3 linked regions of the Saccharomyces cerevisiae S288C genome follow. The gene in region 2 interacts genetically with the main gene of each other region. Each region holds a gene or a part of one and is shown on either strand. Other genes may lie near its edges.

Region 1 (2,814 bases), on a different chromosome or scaffold from region 2:
TCATTATTATTTCAAGAGAAATGAAAACCAAAACTGGGATATGCGTGTCGAGTGCTAAAAAAAGCCAACTAGCGATTTAAGAGTGAGAAGTAATCCTCGTTAAAAGCGATGCAGAGCCAACTAACTAAACTGCTAACCTCGCTTTCTTTACACAAGTAGTACTCAAGAAGTTTCATAAAATGCCCAGTTACACACTCGTGAAATGCACTTCAAGGTGGTGTTACAATTTTCACGAACTGCAACAATTGAGTATATTTATTAAAGCAGGAATATGTTTGCCCAATCAAACGTAATTTCATATATGAACATATATGAAGTTGCACACATCAGCGGGAAAGATGTCTCTACCGCTCGAGGAGCCACACGTTTGATTTGCAATCCATGAAATAGAACTGCTAATCCCATATACAATTAACTATATCAATTTCCTGAACAAAGAGATTACAATCAACGGCAAAGCCGCCTGCCTCTCCGGAGATCTCCTTTTTTCTTCTTTCTTTTGTCCTATGTTGCATAGTTGCTCATGTCTTTTCCTTAGGCGGACAATTAAGAGCAGCCACAATATTTCCAAAACTAAATTGCTAAAAAAGCGTAGCAAAAAATTCTCGTCATTCCCACTTTCCCTACCTTAACCCTTGATGTTAACGCCGTTTCGCTCATCGGAACAAACTATACAGATAATTAAGCTTTTCGGCAGCGGTGAGAAAGGAAGCAGCCAGGAGGAATACGCGGCTTTCTCGCGGAGCCCGATTGCCGATACAAAGGAACTGTTGCCTCCTCCCGGCTATTTCCATAGGCCTTCATTCAGCATACTGTTGTGTAGTTGCATCACATCCTTGTTGAATGAATTCCAACTATTTCGATAAACCATCCCATGAAGGAGAATGCAATGCGGCTTTTGTTTGTAAACGGGCTTGAGAGGTTCTATGCGGTTAATTCTGTCACTAGGGGTCCGAATCTCGGATTAAGTATAAAATATGTATTACCCTGATGATTGACCGGATGATGTAAGGATGCATGTCCCTACTGTTTTGGTATTTCCACATACGGACGGGGCCCCGAAACACCACCCCCATTTTAACGGCCGCATCTGAGCATCGGCCCATTTGGCACACGCCCGTTAGTGACGTTGGTAGGGGCATTTCCCTGAGGTAGGCCCAAGGTTGCTTTAAAAGGTCCATCGCAAACCCCTTGTCCGCGGACCTCTGCGTCATAATTAAAATGCCCAAAACATAAAAGTGATCGCCCCCTCACAGAAACTTATGGGCAGCTTGCTGCCTTAACGGAATTGACTAGAATTGGTTTGATTTTTTTTTCTTCCTACTTCTTCTTCCATTTCCCTCCCCTCTTCCTCATATATGTATACAGAAAAATCATACCCCTATAAATTCCTTGGCCCCAATCTTCTGTCAGATTTTCCTTTATAAAAGAGTCTTTGTTTTGTAATTAAAAGATACTTTTTTCTTTCTTCTTCTACGTCTCCTTTTTTTTTTTTAAGAAAATTTAACTTATACCACTATTTTGTTCGCAATTGATCAAGAAAAAATACAATTGAAAAGGTTTTACATTTTTAATTTTTCTGCTCATCGCGCTTTTTTAAAAGGATAAATAAACATTTCTTTAAAAAACATCTTCAATAAGAAAAATCGGTTAAAAAAACTTTTCTTCTCAAAGCATACCTAATAACAATATAATCCCATAATGCTAGCCCTAGCTGATAACATTCTACGTATAATAAATTTCCTATTTTTGGTTATTTCCATCGGTTTAATCAGTTCGTTGTTAAACACCCAACATAGGCACAGCTCCAGAGTAAACTACTGTATGTTTGCTTGTGCATATGGTATATTCACCGATTCATTGTACGGTGTCTTTGCCAACTTCATTGAACCATTGGCATGGCCACTAGTTTTGTTCACACTGGACTTTTTGAACTTTGTGTTCACTTTCACTGCCGGTACAGTGTTGGCCGTTGGTATCAGAGCTCACTCATGTAACAACAGCTCATACGTTGACAGTAACAAGATTACTCAAGGTTCCGGTACCAGATGTAGACAAGCTCAAGCCGCTGTTGCATTCCTCTACTTCTCTTGTGCCATCTTTTTGGCTAAGACCCTGATGTCTGTTTTCAACATGATCTCCAATGGTGCCTTTGGTTCTGGTTCTTTCTCCAAGAGAAGAAGAACTGGCCAAGTCGGTGTTCCAACCATTTCCCAAGTCTAATTGAAGCGCACCAACTTAAATTTTACGCCACTTTCAATTAAGAATATAATAAATGGACACCGTGAATAAATTAGGGAAAAAAGAAAGCAAATAAGAAAACTCCGTTTTCCCTCATCCCTTTCCGTCTTTCGGAAGAAACAAAAAATTATACCCAAGGAAAACCCGAAAAAAATGAAAAAAATACCAGAAAAAAAATAACAAATCATATGCACTTCTTCATTAACGATTATGAAGAAGTCTTATTTCTAACTAATATTATTATTATTATTATTATTATTATCATTCACCCCGCTTTCTTTTATTATAATTTGTTCTTCTAATATTTTAATTTTTAATCTTTTCATACTATTCTTATATCTAACTAAAGTATCCTTCTCTTTGTCTAGTTTTACTTCACTACATACCTGTTGCGTTGATTTGAGTTTTTTGTATGTAAGTTCTGTTTATCCTTTTTCATCCTACCGTTCCGCGCACGGCGTGACGTGGATCCCTAATGTGAGTTCAAATCGGTTACAAAAATTAATAGTTTTGTTTCCTATTATTATTATTATTATTATGTATGAGGAATCGTGCTATAAAATCATTTTCCAT
Region 2 (4,516 bases):
TCTTTAGTGTGTTGGTTTCTCTTCTGTTTGTATATACAAAGTCAAATAACACATATTTTAACCATAATCAATAGCATTTGGTATTTCCCCCTCCGCGTATTATGAACGCCTAGTGAGCCCATTCTTCCCTAAAGCCAGGCTGGAAACCCAAACTGTGTGGAACGTGACTGAATTGCATTTGGTGAGTTACCAAGCAAAGGCTCGCAGGCTTGAACCACATTTTACCAGGGCGCTCGCTTTTTCCGAAATATTGAAATTAAGCAAAACAATAATGTACGGATTTAAAGAGGTACGGATGGAGACCGTAGAAAATTGACTTTTTTTTTTTTTTTGTTATTTTCTGTGCCTTTCGTAACTACTACTATGCAGAATGACAGGTAGTTGTTGTTTCGAATTGCTACTTTCACGCATTCAACTTGATCAACATTTCTCTCTGATGAAAGGTTGTGGAAAGTTTGGTCGTGTCTATAAGTAGGTGTTTTTTATTAGTTCTATATAAAAATGGAGAATGTTAATTTTAACCCACCCTAAAACAGTGATTAGGAGTGGTAATAATTTTTTGTTTAATGGATTAAAACTAAAGGTTCATCTGTACTTTCAGAAAGTAAGACACTAAAAATGGCAAGCTAACAACCATTAGCGGGTATTGCAGCATTAAGAAAAATGAAACACACTCCATTTGGATTGGCGCAGTTGTTTCTGGCGGCGTAAAACTGGCGGTGAAATATATAAGGGTAGTCATCGTTGGCAAGTTCCAGCTGATTGCTATAACAAATAGTAGCATTCTATCATCTTGCCAATTAACCCATCCAGCTTTCACTAACCGATCACACCATAGGACACCAAAAATTGGCATGACACATTGTCTCAAAATGACGAGTGTCACAGCGGCTTTCCAAAATCCAGGATAAAGGTTGCCAATCTTTAATCTTCCTAAAGTTGCTCCTAATAATATCAACCCAAATGGAACACATGCGGCACCGACATAACCTGTAAAATCCATGAAAAAGCTTAATGGTGGTGCATTGTCAGGAGCTTGGCTTATGTGAGGAGTATTAGCGGTAGTCACGAACAAAGCCTTGACCCATGGGATAAATGCAACAGTTAGGGCGATGATCACGGCCATAGAGCACGGTCTCAAACAATTCTTTAGGAAAAACACAAGTAATGGAGTTAATGAAAATTTTCTCATCCACTGTGGTAATGATTCGCCGGATGTTTCAATATCCTTTTTACTTACAGTGGCATCTGATGTTAAGATCCTGGTTAGGTTAGCAGTTTTTATAGTCTGTAAAGTGGAATTTGAGCTAATTGAATGCACATCATTCATATCAGCGCCGCGTAAACTGGAATTCCTCCTTTGATGACCATACTGGTCAACGTTGGAGTACTCTCTGATAAGATGGTGTATATTTTGAGAAGGTAATGCACGCATATCAATGGAGCGGATAGGTTCCAATGCCGCCATAGACATATTTTTTGGGCATTTTTCATCTAAACAGTTCTCTTCTAGGAGTGTGGTAGTATTGTAAGCTCTCGGCTGGCTCGCGGTTCTACGTGCTCTCATAGTATCTATGCTACTCTCATAACTCTCTGACGTATTATAAGAATGTATTGTTGAAGCAGATGATTGGCTATCTAATGGATTTGAACCACGAGTTGCCTGTGACTCTTCGCTTTGAGTGCACGCAATAGTATTTCTTGCCTTCACCTGAACTGGTTTTGTAATCTTTGAATTCGAAGAAGTGTCTGGTAGTGACAGGGGAGCTATACTATTTGTTGATCTCCTTGAAATTGGTGGTACGTCTGCGTTTTCACCCTTTGTACCTATAGCTTCAGTGAGACTATCGCGAGCGGTGTACTTATTGTTGAAAAGCTGTTGTTCGTTTGAGAAGAAACGCTCGCTAGTATCTGTATTAGTTGTGTTTGCACTTACTGCGGGCTGTGTCTTTGTCGTTTCTGAAACCCTAACGGCGCTTTCATCGTCGTTGTACTCGAAATCGCTTTCAATCAGTCGAAACCCCCCCAAATTGAAAATGCAAATTAGAAACATTGTCAGAAATATAATGACGTTAGCCACACCTTTGTTACCTTCTTCTTCCGAAAATACAAGCCCTTGGTCCATAGATTGTAAATATGCAATTGGTAAATCACTTATATTTGGAAACATACCACCGGCAAGAATACCACCGTACCATTGTTTAGGAACAGGCAGGAATAGCCTAACAACGTATGCAAAAAAGAACCCAGAACCAAATATTAGGAGGGCAGACAGACAGATAATTCCCACAGATTTGATGTCTTTATCTTCAATATTAGCGACAATCTTGTTGAATGACAGAGAGGGTAGTAAAACTGTTAGCACGATATCAGAAATAATTCTTGTTGCTTCAACCGTAAGAATTCCCATTTTAGCCATCAGAAAGCCGACTCCTATAATCAAATAAATCTTGATTATCGGCTTAACTGACACCCATATCGCTTGACCCAGAGTAATGTGCACCATCTGATGAAAATTTGAGGTTTCAATCCCTTTCTCTGTTTGATTCTATAACTTCTCCAAAAAAATTGCGCTGACGCTAATTAGTCACTGTTTATATCTTTTTTAGCGATGATTTGTAACAATATGCCATAAAAGCGTTCTCTAACTGCGGAAGTGATGAGAATTGAATAGTTTTATTCAGAAGGCAATATATCCTAATATGGCACAAAAAGGCAACTTGTATGCACAAAATGAGCATAAGAGTTCAGGCAGAACGTTGTGCTCTTGATCCAAAGGTTAAAAGTCATCGAGTAGGAAGATATTGTAACCTTCGCGCAAACCGCAGCCGCAGCGGGTCACGTGGTCGCGCAAATGATGATGAGGGCGCGGTCTAACTTTCCAAACGAGGTTACCAACAATTCTCGGACAGATAAAGCATTAGAATAGGGTGGCAACGCCTTTACGGTTAGCTTGTTCATTGTGATTGGTTTGTGTATCTTTTCTTGGCTTTTTATGCCCACGAGACATAAAGTATACGAAGCTGTTATACTATTCGTGATCCAGGGCAAAAATTTAGCATCATTAAGGCATATATATCGCAAATAGTGGGTTGCACAAGGCTTTCAATAAACAGTGTCATATGTTTCTCTAGCTCTGTCGGTTTGTTGGCTATAAAGAGTTTGTCTAGTAATCGCCGTCTTTTCTTGGGACCATTAACACAGACAAGGACATTGAAACTTGGCTATAAGTTCCGTCAAAGGGGGAAAAAATTGCTTTGGAGAAGGAATAAAAAGATGAATAGTCAAGGTTACGATGAAAGCTCTTCCTCTACTGCTGCTACTAGCGGTCCTACTTCTGGAGACCCACGAATGGGTAAGAAACAACGGTTTATGAATCTCATAAGAACCACAAAGGATGTTTATATTCCTAACCTGACGTCATCCATTTCTCAAAAGACAATGGATGGCATCAGGAGCACTACGAATTCCTTCGAAGGTTATAATGACTTGCCTATGGAATTGCCACATAATACCACGATAACATATTTTCCAACGTATACCACAACTAATTTGGTTGACCCTGACGGTTTGAGTGCGCCTCGGAAAGATTTTGAAACTACTGTCAGATGTGCTGTTTCTTATCCAGGAAATCCTACAAGCAGGAGAAATAGGTGGTTGCTTTCTCTTTGTAAACAATATCTTAGAACTGGAACGGCGGAGGCCGATGTTGCACCTGTTGTTCCCCCTCATCTCGAAGAGGATTCTGGAGATTTAAACGACTCCCAATCAAGTATAGAAAGTTCTTTGTCTTCAAAGAGCGAAAATAGGTATTCACATATGGGCATCCAAGAGGAAGATGTTCTGAATGAGAGAATTCAAGGATTCCTGTCCAAAAAAGTTCCTAATACTCCAGTGGTGGTTGACCTATTGCCCAAAGATAAGCTCAGAGGGGATACGGCTTCCTTTTTTGGTACCACGGACTCTTATGGTAATTTACTAATCAAGGCAGAAACAGATTTTTTACCGTCCAAGATTAATATTACATTAGATACCCCTATAGAAGGCCATGCAGATCCCATATCTGAAACATTTCCGGCCAATTATGTCTCGCCCTACGGTATTGGTTTAATCAGTGATATTGACGACACCATCAAGCATACTGGCGTTACGGGTGACAGGAGATCGATGTTTCGTAATGTTTTCATCCATGATGTTCAATCGTGGGTAATAGATGGTGTTCCTCTTTGGTACAAAACTTTACATGATGTCGCAGACGTTGATTTCTTTTATGTTTCTAATTCACCCATCCAAACTTTTACTCTTTTGAAACAATATATTTGCGCCAATTTTCCTCCGGGTCCAATTTTTTTGAAACAATACTCTGGTAATTTCTTTTCCACTATCATGACTTCAAGTGCGAATAGAAAAATTCAGCCGATTGCAAATATCTTAAAGGATTTTCCCAAAAAAAAATTTATTTTGGTCGGTGATTCTGGTGAACATGACTTAGAAGCGTATACCACTACGGCTTTAC
Region 3 (3,210 bases), on a different chromosome or scaffold from region 2:
AGTTGATTCTTGTTCCAACAGTATATTCCAAACATGTGTTAATCACGCGTTGATACAATGTGGCTCGGCTACAAATCAGTTATTAACATCGTGAGCTATGTTTCCCTGAAATGGGGACGTTTTCCAACGAATTAGCCTTGTTGGCGCAATCGGTAGCGCGTATGACTCTTAATCATAAGGTTAGGGGTTCGAGCCCCCTACAGGGCTATTCTTTTTTTGTTCTATATGAACAGAGCTATTTCCCTTCTAAGAGTCCCACATAAAAGTGCTCTGGGGAAAAACGGACCACAGCATGTCCTGTGGTACTTGTTTCTTTCAAGTTTTTCGTATGTATTTCCCATTTTTTGATTCGCTACAACCTGTATTTGTTTTATGGCGCGCCTGGACCATATATATGTATATATTTATTTACATGTAATTGGCACAGGGAAAAACAGTGGAAGGATCAAGGTAAAAAGTATGAAACCGAGAATTATTCGCGACTTCAGGTTATCCAATCGTGTATGTAATCGTATGTAGGCAAAAGTAAATAGATATGAACTACATTTTCCTGCTTTACTTAGACTAGAGATGTGACCTCAAAGAATCTTCTCAAGTAGTATATCTGGAAAAGAGAGTTTGCAATAACGACGCCCAATTGGAAGATGGACCACCATTTAACACGATCGTTGGTCGACTCTGCAGTATTTCTATGCGTCCTTTCTCTAATAACAATATAACTTTGTTCGTCCTTGACTTCCCTGGTTAATTTGGACAACTTTCTGACAGCACTATCCAATGTATTGGTGTTTGGGTCGTCCAAATCCACATATACCACCCCATGAATGTTGAAAGTCACGTCTTTTGTCTCGATACCGGTGTTCTCGTTCAAGAAACAGTATTGGAAATGTCCCTTGTATGGAGCAGACAATGTGATTTCACCGTGCGACGTGTCCCTAACCGTTTTCAAAACTTCATGTCTTTCCGGCCCGTAGATGATAAAGTCACCAGTCAGCTGGCTACTGGATTGAGGGTTTCTATCACCGAACTGGAACGAAATGGAGAGCTCGTCACCCTTACTCAAGTCTTCGAAGAAGCATCTACGGCCATAAGCTGGAAGAAGGACATTATGGGCGGACGCCGAGAAGAACAGGAAGCAAGCAATGACAAACTTAGTAGCAAATGAGGCCATCCTTATGCGTGTGTATTTTTGTGCGGAGGGATACTATTAAGATTGCAGTTTCACCAAGTATAGCTTTTTATTTCATTATAAGTTTCGTGTCAAAATGTTTAAGCGACCCGATCTCTCAGGCTGTTTTGCACGACTTTTCTGACTTTCCTCGCGTCTTTTTTCATGAAAATTGGATTACCCGGAGTGATGATTTTCTCACAGTGATTTTTCGTCCCCTTTTACAATAGCAAATGAAGCTGTTTTAGCAATATTTGTAGAAAGATATGTCACAAGAGGGCAGGCAAAATGTCATACGGAAGAGAAGACACTACGATTGAGCCCGACTTCATAGAACCAGATGCACCTTTGGCTGCTTCCGGGGGTGTTGCTGACAACATAGGCGGAACTATGCAGAATTCAGGCAGCAGAGGGACGCTCGACGAGACTGTGCTGCAAACACTAAAGCGAGATGTGGTGGAGATTAATTCCAGACTGAAACAAGTGGTATACCCGCATTTCCCCTCATTCTTTAGCCCCTCTGATGACGGGATAGGGGCGGCTGATAACGACATTTCAGCCAATTGCGACCTGTGGGCGCCCCTTGCGTTTATCATATTGTATTCTCTATTTGTATCGCATGCGCGGTCGCTGTTCTCGAGCCTATTTGTGTCTAGTTGGTTCATTTTGCTGGTGATGGCATTGCATCTGAGACTCACCAAGCCACACCAGAGGGTGTCGCTGATTTCGTACATCTCCATTTCCGGGTATTGCTTATTCCCACAAGTGCTGAATGCCTTAGTCTCGCAGATACTACTTCCATTGGCCTACCATATTGGAAAGCAAAATCGCTGGATTGTGAGGGTCCTGTCGCTCGTGAAACTGGTGGTCATGGCGCTGTGCCTGATGTGGTCTGTGGCCGCCGTTTCGTGGGTTACCAAGAGCAAGACCATTATCGAGATATACCCTCTGGCACTCTGTCTTTTTGGCATGGCCTGGTTGTCAACTATTTTATAACACTAGTTACATATGTATAAAACCCAATATCATGGACATAGAATTGCCTATCTCGCGAGCCACGGCAGAAAGTTCTGAAAAAAAAAAAAAAGAGGACGCTCACAGGGGCTGGCGTGTGGCTAAGGCAGACTCCGTGGAGTGTAAGAGAAGTTCAAAGCAAGATTAGGCTTTCTGATGAATTGGTAGCGCAGAGTCTGGCAAAGTCTATTTCAAGTTCACAGCGTCCGTTTACCACAATTGTTTGAGAACTCTTCTCCTTCCTGTGCCTATAGCCACACTTGCAAACATTACATGGTGAAGGCGCTTTAGAGACTTTTCTGTTTTACTATATATATAAGATAACATAGCGCGCGTGCAAACCAAAGGACAAGTAACAATCTGCACCTGCTTTAGCGTAGTATGCCTTTATTACAACCATCCACTTGCTTCTGCTACCCTTTGAAGCTTCCGCCATTACCACTGACTTCCGATTCCAACGAGTTTGATGAATGCGCCAGGAAAAGGTTAACGCTGGACTATAGAACAGGTTCAGCGGTGACGCTAACAAGGTCTAATATATTTGTACATGGTGGTCTAACCATCCCGTTGAACCTGCCAGTTGTAAATTCTATGCAATTACAAAAGGAGCTTATTCTCTTTTTTGCAAAGGAAAAAAACAACGGTAGTTCTTTTAGGAATTTAAACGAGTGGATAAGTAAGGAGACGTTTTTCTTAGACTTGATGTCTAGAACCTGGTACAGAGTCAAGACCTCCTTTGACCAAAGGACAGAGGAATTATTAAAGGCAGAGAGTTCTAGCGCCAAAGCAGATAATGACACAAACGAGATTAGAACGGACATTAAGAAAGGTAAATCCCTTGAATCTCCGCTCAAGGAGAGGCTATTCCATTCCTTATGTTATTTAGATGGCTGTTTATATATATTTGGTGGTCTCACAGTGTCTCCTCAGAGCGGATATGAGTTGATTGCTACCAATGAGTTGTGGAAACTGGATTTAAACACGAAGAAGTGGTCGCTTTTGAGTGATGACCCTCAAATAGCGAGAAG

The links.
Region 1: mutations in YNL095C (region 2) and NCE102 together harm fitness more than expected from each alone (negative genetic interaction), as found in Saccharomyces cerevisiae (2 studies listed by BioGRID).
Region 3: mutations in YNL095C (region 2) and EMP24 together harm fitness more than expected from each alone (negative genetic interaction), as found in Saccharomyces cerevisiae (2 studies listed by BioGRID).

The regions. Positions count from the first base shown.
Region 1 is NC_001148.4:828,217-831,030, forward strand, and holds NCE102 (Nce102p), read left to right. Parts: upstream 1-1,701; coding exon 1,702-2,223; downstream 2,224-2,814. UniProt on the Saccharomyces cerevisiae protein: Involved in membrane organization. Required for the formation of membrane compartments of CAN1 (MCCs), localization of CAN1 at the MCCs and subsequent invagination of the plasma membrane at the MCCs sites.
Region 2 is NC_001146.8:444,335-448,850, forward strand, and holds YNL095C (uncharacterized protein), read right to left. Parts: upstream 2,507-4,516; coding exon 578-2,506; downstream 1-577. Other genes in the region: phosphatidate phosphatase APP1, read left to right, coding at 3,277-4,516.
Region 3 is NC_001139.9:122,135-125,344, forward strand, and holds EMP24 (Emp24p), read right to left. Parts: upstream 1,172-3,210; coding exon 560-1,171; downstream 1-559. Other genes in the region: YIP4 (Yip4p), read left to right, coding at 1,457-2,164; MDS3 (Mds3p), read left to right, coding at 2,564-3,210. UniProt on the Saccharomyces cerevisiae protein: Constituent of COPII-coated endoplasmic reticulum-derived transport vesicles. Required for efficient transport of a subset of secretory proteins to the Golgi.